Bombyx mori: one gene and its partner. The protein of the gene in region 2 purifies or fractionates together with the protein of the main gene of each other region. This does not show direct contact. Links are inferred from orthologs where the notes say so. Each region holds a gene or a part of one and is shown on either strand. Other genes may lie near its edges.

Region 1 (4,172 bases), on a different chromosome or scaffold from region 2:
CAAGATAAAATACAAAAGAAGTAGGAACTTATACAGTTATATCATAGAAGCAAAGTAGTGCGATTTCAATCTGGACTTGAAAATTTCCGGCGAGGAAGATAGTTTAACGCTTAAGGGTAACGCATTCCATAAACGGACAGCCTCAACCGCAAAGGAATGGTCATAAAATGACGTCAATACTACTTGTACAATACTTTTTGTAATACAATATTTAAGTCGCAATTCAAAAATCTAACAGATATTAATTAATATATCTTTTACAGTTTAATATCGCGTTTTTTTTTTCTTCATTGTATCGTGGGGTGACAGGTTATTTGGCTCGACATTTATCGATGTAACTAAAGGTCCGTTTTATTTGGTATTAGCATCAACACTTCGATGTTTTTATTCAATTAAGTTTACCCCAATCAAATAGCTAAAGAAGTTTTTTTGGTATGATATTTTTTCCAAATTTTAAACTTTGAATATGAGTCCTGTAAAGTTGCAAATATGTCGCTGAAACCAAATAGCCTCTCACTCCTAGAATTATTATATCCGACGCTTCGAATACTTTGAGGGGGAAGAGGTCATGGATGGAGTGTGTGAATGACGATATGAGAGAGAGAGAGAGAGAGAGAGAGGAGTGAGTGTTGAGATGACGGCTGATAGAAGAGAATGGAAGAGAAAAATTTGCTGTGCCGACCCCACCTAGTGGGATAAGGTAGAGAAAAAGAAAAAGAGTTTCGAATACTTTTACAGTTGTCGTGGCCCGACGTCCGTGTAAAAAAAAACTATGAAAAGCATATTATATTAAATCGTAGAATTAATTTTAATTATGTCTACGACTCGAGAAAACCGTATAAAACGCTGATAGGTATTTATTTATAGCCCACCAATATAAAAATTAATGTCATCAAAATTTACAATTTTTTTTCTGATCCTTCTTGATCGTGTTCTTCTTTTAACTGAGGTCGTCGATTTTCAGCAACTCTAAGAGCTGAAGTGAGGTAGGCCAATGAATGTCTTCATTTGGTAAAAGCAAGGGCATCTATGAGGCCTTTTGCAATTTACTTTAGCCACAACGCCACCAGTTTGTGACAATTGTTAGGTTCCTAACTGACAATATGACCAAAGTAGCCTAGTAGTACAAAGAAGAGTTTGCATACATGAGACAAAATAAATCTTAAAAAACTACAAACAGTTATTGAAACAAGACATTAATACATTTCATGTCTTATAAATGCATTGTTCGGTAGTCCAATAAAGTCGGGCAAAATAGTCGTATTAAACCATACATTGCATTCAACAAATAACAAACCATTTCGTTTTGACAGAATTATTTTGTTGAGACTGCTTAGTGGCAAACCTTGGATTCGATTTGCCAACATTAATAGCGACACACCAAAAACTTCGTACAAATACTGTATCAATCTAAAATAATAATTAACTAGCTGAACCCCTCCGCTTCGCTGGGCATTTAAACATTATTATTTCTCAACCCCACAAAAATTCTCATCATTAACGCCCCCGCAACTGGTGTAGGGAGTCCAACACATCAATGTTAGCCTATCCATTAAGTACATGTATTATCTACATGGATACCAAGTTTCAAGTCAATCGGATGCACGGTTCAGTAGTTATAACGGAACATCCGTAAAAACCACTAGATTGATGTATTAGTATAGATTGTATTTAGTACACTTCGTTGGCAATCATCCCAGATTCCTTGTTATTAAGTAAACTGTTGCCATTCGATTCCTTTGTTGTCAGAAGCCACAGCAACACCGTGATCTGAAAGTCCATTTCCTGTATATCTTTCTTCAAGGTCGCGACAGCTTTCTTTGCTGTAACTAGAGGAGAATTGTCGTTCATCGAGGACCCTTTAGATTCGGTTCTTTGTTTAATATTCTCTAGCTTTGTTGAAAGCTCGTTCAACATGTCTTGCCTTTCAGTGATACCTACACTGGCCTCTTTATATTCATTTGACACTTTGTTTAGTTCGTCGAGTAGAGAACCATATTCTTTGACAAGAGGCTCGAATTGCTCATTCAATATATTCTCCCTGGCCGTTACCTTATCCATAGCCGATGAAATGCTACTGTGCAATTTATTCAGCTGGGTTCCCGTTGTTTTAAATCTATCGAATAACTCTTCTTTGTAACTCCTCATCTGTGCATGTCTCGCTCGCCAGTCGCGTCCATCGGCGGATATCTTCAATCTTAGAGCCGGAGCGACCCTTTCCAATTCCAACTTCCACGCTTCCCAATCGTGAACCTTTTGGGCTATGTTACTTGGTTCTTTTTCGTCTGCATTAATATCTCCTTCAGATTCATCAGAATAAATGGGCATTTCATCTTCAACTTTGTCCAGTAATATTTCGGTTTCGTCTTCAACTTGATCAATGTCATCAACCGACTCTTCTGATTCTGGTATGTCAACAACTGGTTTTTGCCATTCAAAGTTTTCTTTTTTCAATGCTTCATCTGCGAGAATATTCAGGATACTACAAACTTGATCGCCCCATCCTTGTTTTAGTTTATGCGAAGAGAAATCTACATTAACTTCGTTTTCTTTGAGTACATCAATTACTGCAGCTATGATTGTGTTAGGATCGTCCTCTTCGTTGGGCTGAGCGAAATCCTTGCCACACTTCCTTATCAACCAGGCCGCTGTCGAGGCAAACACGAAAAACTGTTCGTTCGGATTAGTGGACGTCACGAAATAATATCGACTCAACGGTTTCATTTTTATCTGGGGACGCAGATCCGTGTCGATTTTTAATAAACGTAATTTATCCATAAGTCTTAAATCCATGTTGATAATGTTTGAATTACGCTAAAAGTAATGCGTGATTGTTTTGAAGTGCTTCGCTACGGTTGCTATGGTGATCAGTCCACCGCTTAAATGTGAAGTGTATTTATTATCTATGGTCTACAGTTCGTTGGTAAACATAGATATTACGCTAATATTAGATTTGTAAATGCACTGAATTTCAAGGAACTACACAAATTCCAGAAATAAGTGATAGGTACATCGAAAAATAAATGAAATAACAACTTCTTGCTGCCGGTTCGGGCTCATATGTCAAGACGATTGAACGATTTTAAACTGGTAGTAGGACCTTGGGAGTCCGCACGGGTAGGTACCACCACCCCGCCTATTTCCGCCGTGAAGCAGTAATGCGTTTCGGTTCGAAGGGTGGGGGTAGCCGTTGTAACTATACTTAGAACTTATATCTCGAGGTGGGTGGCGCATTTACGTTGTAGATGTCTATGGGCTCCAGTAACCACTTAACACCAGGCGGACTGTGAGCTTGTTCATCCATATAAGCAATAAAAAAAAACCTTTTCTGTATTCTTGGTTCTAAACAAGTTAGTTTCCTTATATCAAGTCGGTTTATTAATACAGAAGCTCTGATACTCATTTTCTACGCTTGTATTATTATTACAAACGTTGGGAACAATACTACGCATTCTCTCACCCATGTTTGGATATCGGTATGATTAATTTTAATTAAACCATTGTTAAACTAAGATTCATTAATAATTTTGAAACGGTTGTGTTCATCAATTTGCTGAACATATTCTCTGGTGCGTACTCAACAAGAAATTAACTGTGTCTATGAGACATGAAAATGAACTTAATGTAAAACGAAATGTACTAGTGAAGATGAGATTGGAAGCTGTAGTGGTAGCGGTAAGCAGCGGCTTGGCTCTGCCCCTGGGATTGCTGAAGTCCACGGGCGACGTTAACCAACCACTCACAGGTGGGCCGTATGCTCGTCTGCCTATAAGGGCAATAAAAACAAAGAAAAAAAAGCTGCTAATATTAAAATTAACAGAGCAACAATTGGCCGATTAACGCACCGTCGCGGTTTTCGCAAATTAATATTTTTTTTTATCACACGATTTTATTGCATCACTTTGGGAGGCATACACGAAAACGTGTTATGTACGTATTTCATTACAAAAATGTTTATCTGCCTGCGGTATTGGAACACTGGCATGGTTGCATCGTTCGATACTAGTAAGAGCGTCTTATCTAGGCCACGACAATTCCAATGACTGCAAGATGCTCTGCCACCAATACTTTAGATAGAAACTAGAAGGTTATACGTAATTACGGTTTCGCCCGATCCATTAACGGTGCTTTTAGGTACCTACCTCAAGCACCGGTCACCGTCCTCATCGGAC
Region 2 (4,285 bases):
ACCTGTGCTGATAGCCTTGAAAGACTATTTCAGCTACGCCCAACATGTAGGTGAGCTCACAGGGCTCAAACCGGAGTGTTGCTGACACTGGCCCCAGCAAGAGCAGTGCTTCGCAGAATCTACCACCGGATCGAAAACGCGACCCACTGAGAAGATCCGGTAAGACACTCAGTGGGCTGTGACTGTGGGTTTATTCGCTCGACGAGGACGGTGACCGGTAGAGACAATGCGGTATCCTCGGAGATACAGCAGCTTGCCCGTTTCTACCGTGAAACAATCATGTGTTCTAGTTTGAAGGATAGGGAGGTCAAACAACTGTTATACTAAAAGTCATCGAAGATGCAAGTATATTTCCCACAGCAGTGTACACATATACTGGATTGTATATACCTAGGCTCTAATTATAGTCTACCGTCTTTTACTAATCAGTCTACTAGACTAATAAGTCACGAAATTAAAATTAAATAAATAACCTTAGTAAAACCATCCTCAGCCCCGGAAACAACCAAATTGTTATTTGCGTTCCAAGCCGTGCACAAAATGAGACCATCGTGAGCTTTCCACTGAAACCATTTACAAAAAATATTATAGTTAATATAGGTAAAGGATTAACTATAAAAATACACAGGAAACAATCAATATAATTTACAAACAGTTAATAAATAATATAGACAGATAACAAAAAAAAAATACCCTGAAACTAATCTCGAACACTATAATTTGAATTAAATCTCACTGGATTACCTTAACAATTTTACTGCTCGAACTCAAATGCTTGATAACGAGAAAGTTTTCTTTTGTGTGCAATATAGCGTTACTGTCTGGACTCCAGACGGCGTCGAAACATGGCACATCCGATTGAACCAATGTTGAACGAAGGAGACCGTTGCGAGACCAAATCTTCACAAAACCATCTTCGCCGGCTTAAAAAATGTTTAAACAAAAAATGTTTTTGTTTTCAGAATTTATTGACAGGTACTACAGTTTACCAGGTGCATATTGCTAATCGTTGCTTTAATCTCGCGCTTAGTGTTTTAATTTTATTGTTTCCGACATTTTGATTATTTTATAGATTGGATGTTCGTAAGGAGTACAGTATTATTCGTCGACATTTGAAAATTGTGCTAACTACCTTCTATGTATTCGATGTTGGAAAGGTTTCAATGTAACCAGTATGCTAGGCATACTATAGGTACTTAGTGGGAGTTTTTTAAAAGTTCTCGGTAGCGCAAAAGCTTTTTTTTTTGGTCAGGGTGAAATCGCCGAACTCCCACCCTCCACTGGGGATAGAGGGCGGGGTATGTGTATGTATGACCGATTTGGCTAATTTTGGTCTTGAATTATTCGTGGTAGTCCAGAGAAGGTTTGAAAGGTGAGAAAATATAAAAAAGCTCGGAATCATATAAAAACAAACAATTTTGTTTTTCTTTTGATGTGTCCCCTAGATATGTCTTTTATTTATCGATTGAGGCATTACGAACTCTGCCGGGTCAGCTAGTAAGATATACATATCTAGTCAAAGAGACGGTCATTTGGACATTATTGATTGTCATCGTGAATCGATGTCGGTAAGGTTATCAAAATTTTAATGAGAGAGCATCAGTTATTCATTCTCATTGTAAATTAATTAGCAGTAGAACAGCGAGAGTCTCTTGTCTGAATATAATGGATAAAGGAGGTCTCATCATTGCTTATTTTTATCCATTGGACTAGGTACTTTTAAACTACTTTTAGGTAAACTAGCGACCCGCCCTCGCTTCGCTTCGGATTATTCGGATATTATTGATTTCTCTACTATTTAATGGATGTTATTATACATATAAATCTTCCTCTTTAATCACTTTATCAACCGCATCAAAATCCGTTGCGTAGTTTTAAAGATTTAAGCATACATAGGGATACAGGGACAGAAAAAGCGACTTTGTTTTATACTATATAGTCAAGAAGATGATCAATAAATTAACAGCTATATTAAACGACTAATAATTTTAATACCTGTTAGAAGACCCGCTCCGTCTGGACTCCACTTTGCTGTGAGGCAAGCCCCCTCGTGAGCGGTCACCGATTTCTCTATACGTCCATTGTGATTTACTATATGAAATCTAGAAATTTTATTTTACATTCTACTAATATCAGAATCAATAAAAAATAAACGATTGCAATAATGGGTGGATCATGAACATTGGCAATTTAAGACACCTGCAGGTATTCATAATGAGAAAGTTGGAAAATCAAAGGAATCGTGGACGTCTAAATGGTTGAAATACGTAGTTAGAAACGGAAAAACAATAGGTTGTCCAAGCTACGGAATGAAATAAATGGAAGATTAATTTAATCGGGCCAAGGCCTATCTGTAGATCCAAACCTATTGAATTTGATGATCATAAATTCTTACTATTTATTCATTAATTAAAAAAGGAAACTTACTTGCCATCAGCTGTAGAAATCAATATGACATCATGTTGATGTTTACTGCCTCCTAGACTAGTTTTAGGAAATAAGTGCATGCTAGTCGGATAGAAATCATCAGGAAAAGTAGTTACCGGCAAGCATTCATTATTAACTAAATTCCACTTTAATAGTTTATGATCGTCTCTGGAATGTATATCAATACAGAATTAAAAATAAATATTTAAGGCAAAGCATTTTTATTTGTTATTTCACTTTTCTTATCCTATTTCCTTTACCCGCAAGAAAATACGTCCTCTGTATTATTCCAACAAACGCAAACCACTACACCGGTGTGTTTTGGTTCCTTGTGGGAGGAAATTTTAAATTTCATTCTGGATCAGTGAGTTGTTGATTTTGTACAGAGATTGAATTAATAATAAAAAAAGTATAATGTACTCTTCTACTATAGGAAAAATGCTACATCGCACTTAAATAAATGCAATTAGTCCAGAAAATACACGATTAGACAAAATGTTGCCATGGATACGCAAATACAACAAACTATTTTGTGTAACCTAAAAATAATTGTTCTAATTTGTGTTATTAATTGTTAAATAAATTTGTTGATGCTGAATATTTGCTATGATGTAATAATCAGTAATTGGCCATTAATCAAAAAAATTGCTATGAAGAATCGAAAATTGAGTTTCAGAACTTATAATGTATTTATAAACCCGTAAAACGATGGTGTTATTCATAATGTGATTTATATATTATGGTTTCCGATAGCTAAAAAGCCAATACCTATATGTTTAAATTGTAAAAACACAAAATTAAGAGATTTGGAAAAATATAACATAATCGCTGAAGAACACTTTTCTATTTTCTAAAAATTCAAATGAACTCATCAATATTTTATAATTTTACTAAGAGGTTAATTCTTAATATGTTGTTGCTTTATCTCTTTTTCTTTAATTTCATTTCATTTTACTTTCTTTTTACATAACAAACAAGGCTTCGGTCTTTGTTATAAAAACTTAATGTATGTGCAACATTCCCTTTGCCGATTTAATGAACAAATCAACAAACAATTTGAATGTCTAATGTCAATGTCAATATTCACATGCTGCCGATTGGGGAATCAATTTTATTTCAAGAAGAGTTTCCCATTGATTTTACGCTGAACATATACGTGTTGTCCGTAATTCAATATAATTTTTAATTATGTCGGATGTACCAGATCTTAGTAGTGACGAAGAGCATTTTGACGATGAAGAATGGCAAGAAATGGAAACCAGTAACGTGTCGGTAACATGCTTGTTTTGTTCAGAGCTGATTTCTTCTGTGGAAGAAGCTTTGGCCCACTGTGAAACTTCGCATAAATTCTCTTTAAGTATTCTAAAGCTCAAGTTTAATATGGACTGTTATTCATACATAAAAATGATAAACTACATAAAGACAAACAAGCCAACTGCTGAAGAATTTATGAAAATTAAGCACCCGCCTTGGAACGACGACAAGTATTTGAAACCTGTTGAGAATGACGAATGGCTCACATTCGACTTCGATTCTGTATCTGAAAAACCTAATTCCCCCAAAACATATCATGCCAATGTTGAGAATGGTGTTGTTACTCTTTCTCAGGGACATTTTACTGAATTACAAAAAACCATACAAACATTGAGCGAACAGTTAAGTGAGAGTCAAACTCATCTGCAAATGGCCAAGGAGGATATAAACAAAATGCAAGACTCAATGAAAACATTAGTTGAAGGCGGCCAGTCCTCAAGTTGTGAAGTAAAAAATAAAACAAGTTGTGTTGCGAGTATTCCTATAGAGTGTGACGAAGGATACTTTAACACTTATGCACACTTTGGAATTCATTACGATATGC

Evidence for each region.
Region 1: the proteins of intraflagellar transport protein 80 homolog (region 2) and intraflagellar transport protein 57 homolog purify together in Homo sapiens (affinity purification with mass spectrometry; 3 studies listed by BioGRID and IntAct, counting the BioPlex papers as one, with this or other methods). This does not show direct contact. The link is inferred for Bombyx mori from reciprocal best matches to the Homo sapiens genes IFT80 and IFT57.

Annotation. Positions count from the first base shown.
Region 1 is NC_085120.1:9,285,718-9,289,889, reverse strand, and holds the start of intraflagellar transport protein 57 homolog, read right to left. Parts: upstream 2,866-4,172; 5' UTR 2,794-2,865; coding exon 1,672-2,793; 3' UTR 1-1,671. UniProt on the Homo sapiens protein: Required for the formation of cilia. Plays an indirect role in sonic hedgehog signaling, cilia being required for all activity of the hedgehog pathway.
Region 2 is NC_085110.1:15,041,840-15,046,124, forward strand, and holds the start of intraflagellar transport protein 80 homolog, read right to left. Parts: upstream 2,952-4,285; 5' UTR 2,783-2,951; coding exon 2,688-2,782; intron 2,596-2,687; coding exon 2,428-2,595; intron 2,103-2,427; coding exon 1,996-2,102; intron 924-1,995; coding exon 745-923; intron 564-744; coding exon 474-563; intron 1-473. Other genes in the region: protein arginine N-methyltransferase 3, read left to right, coding at 3,616-4,285.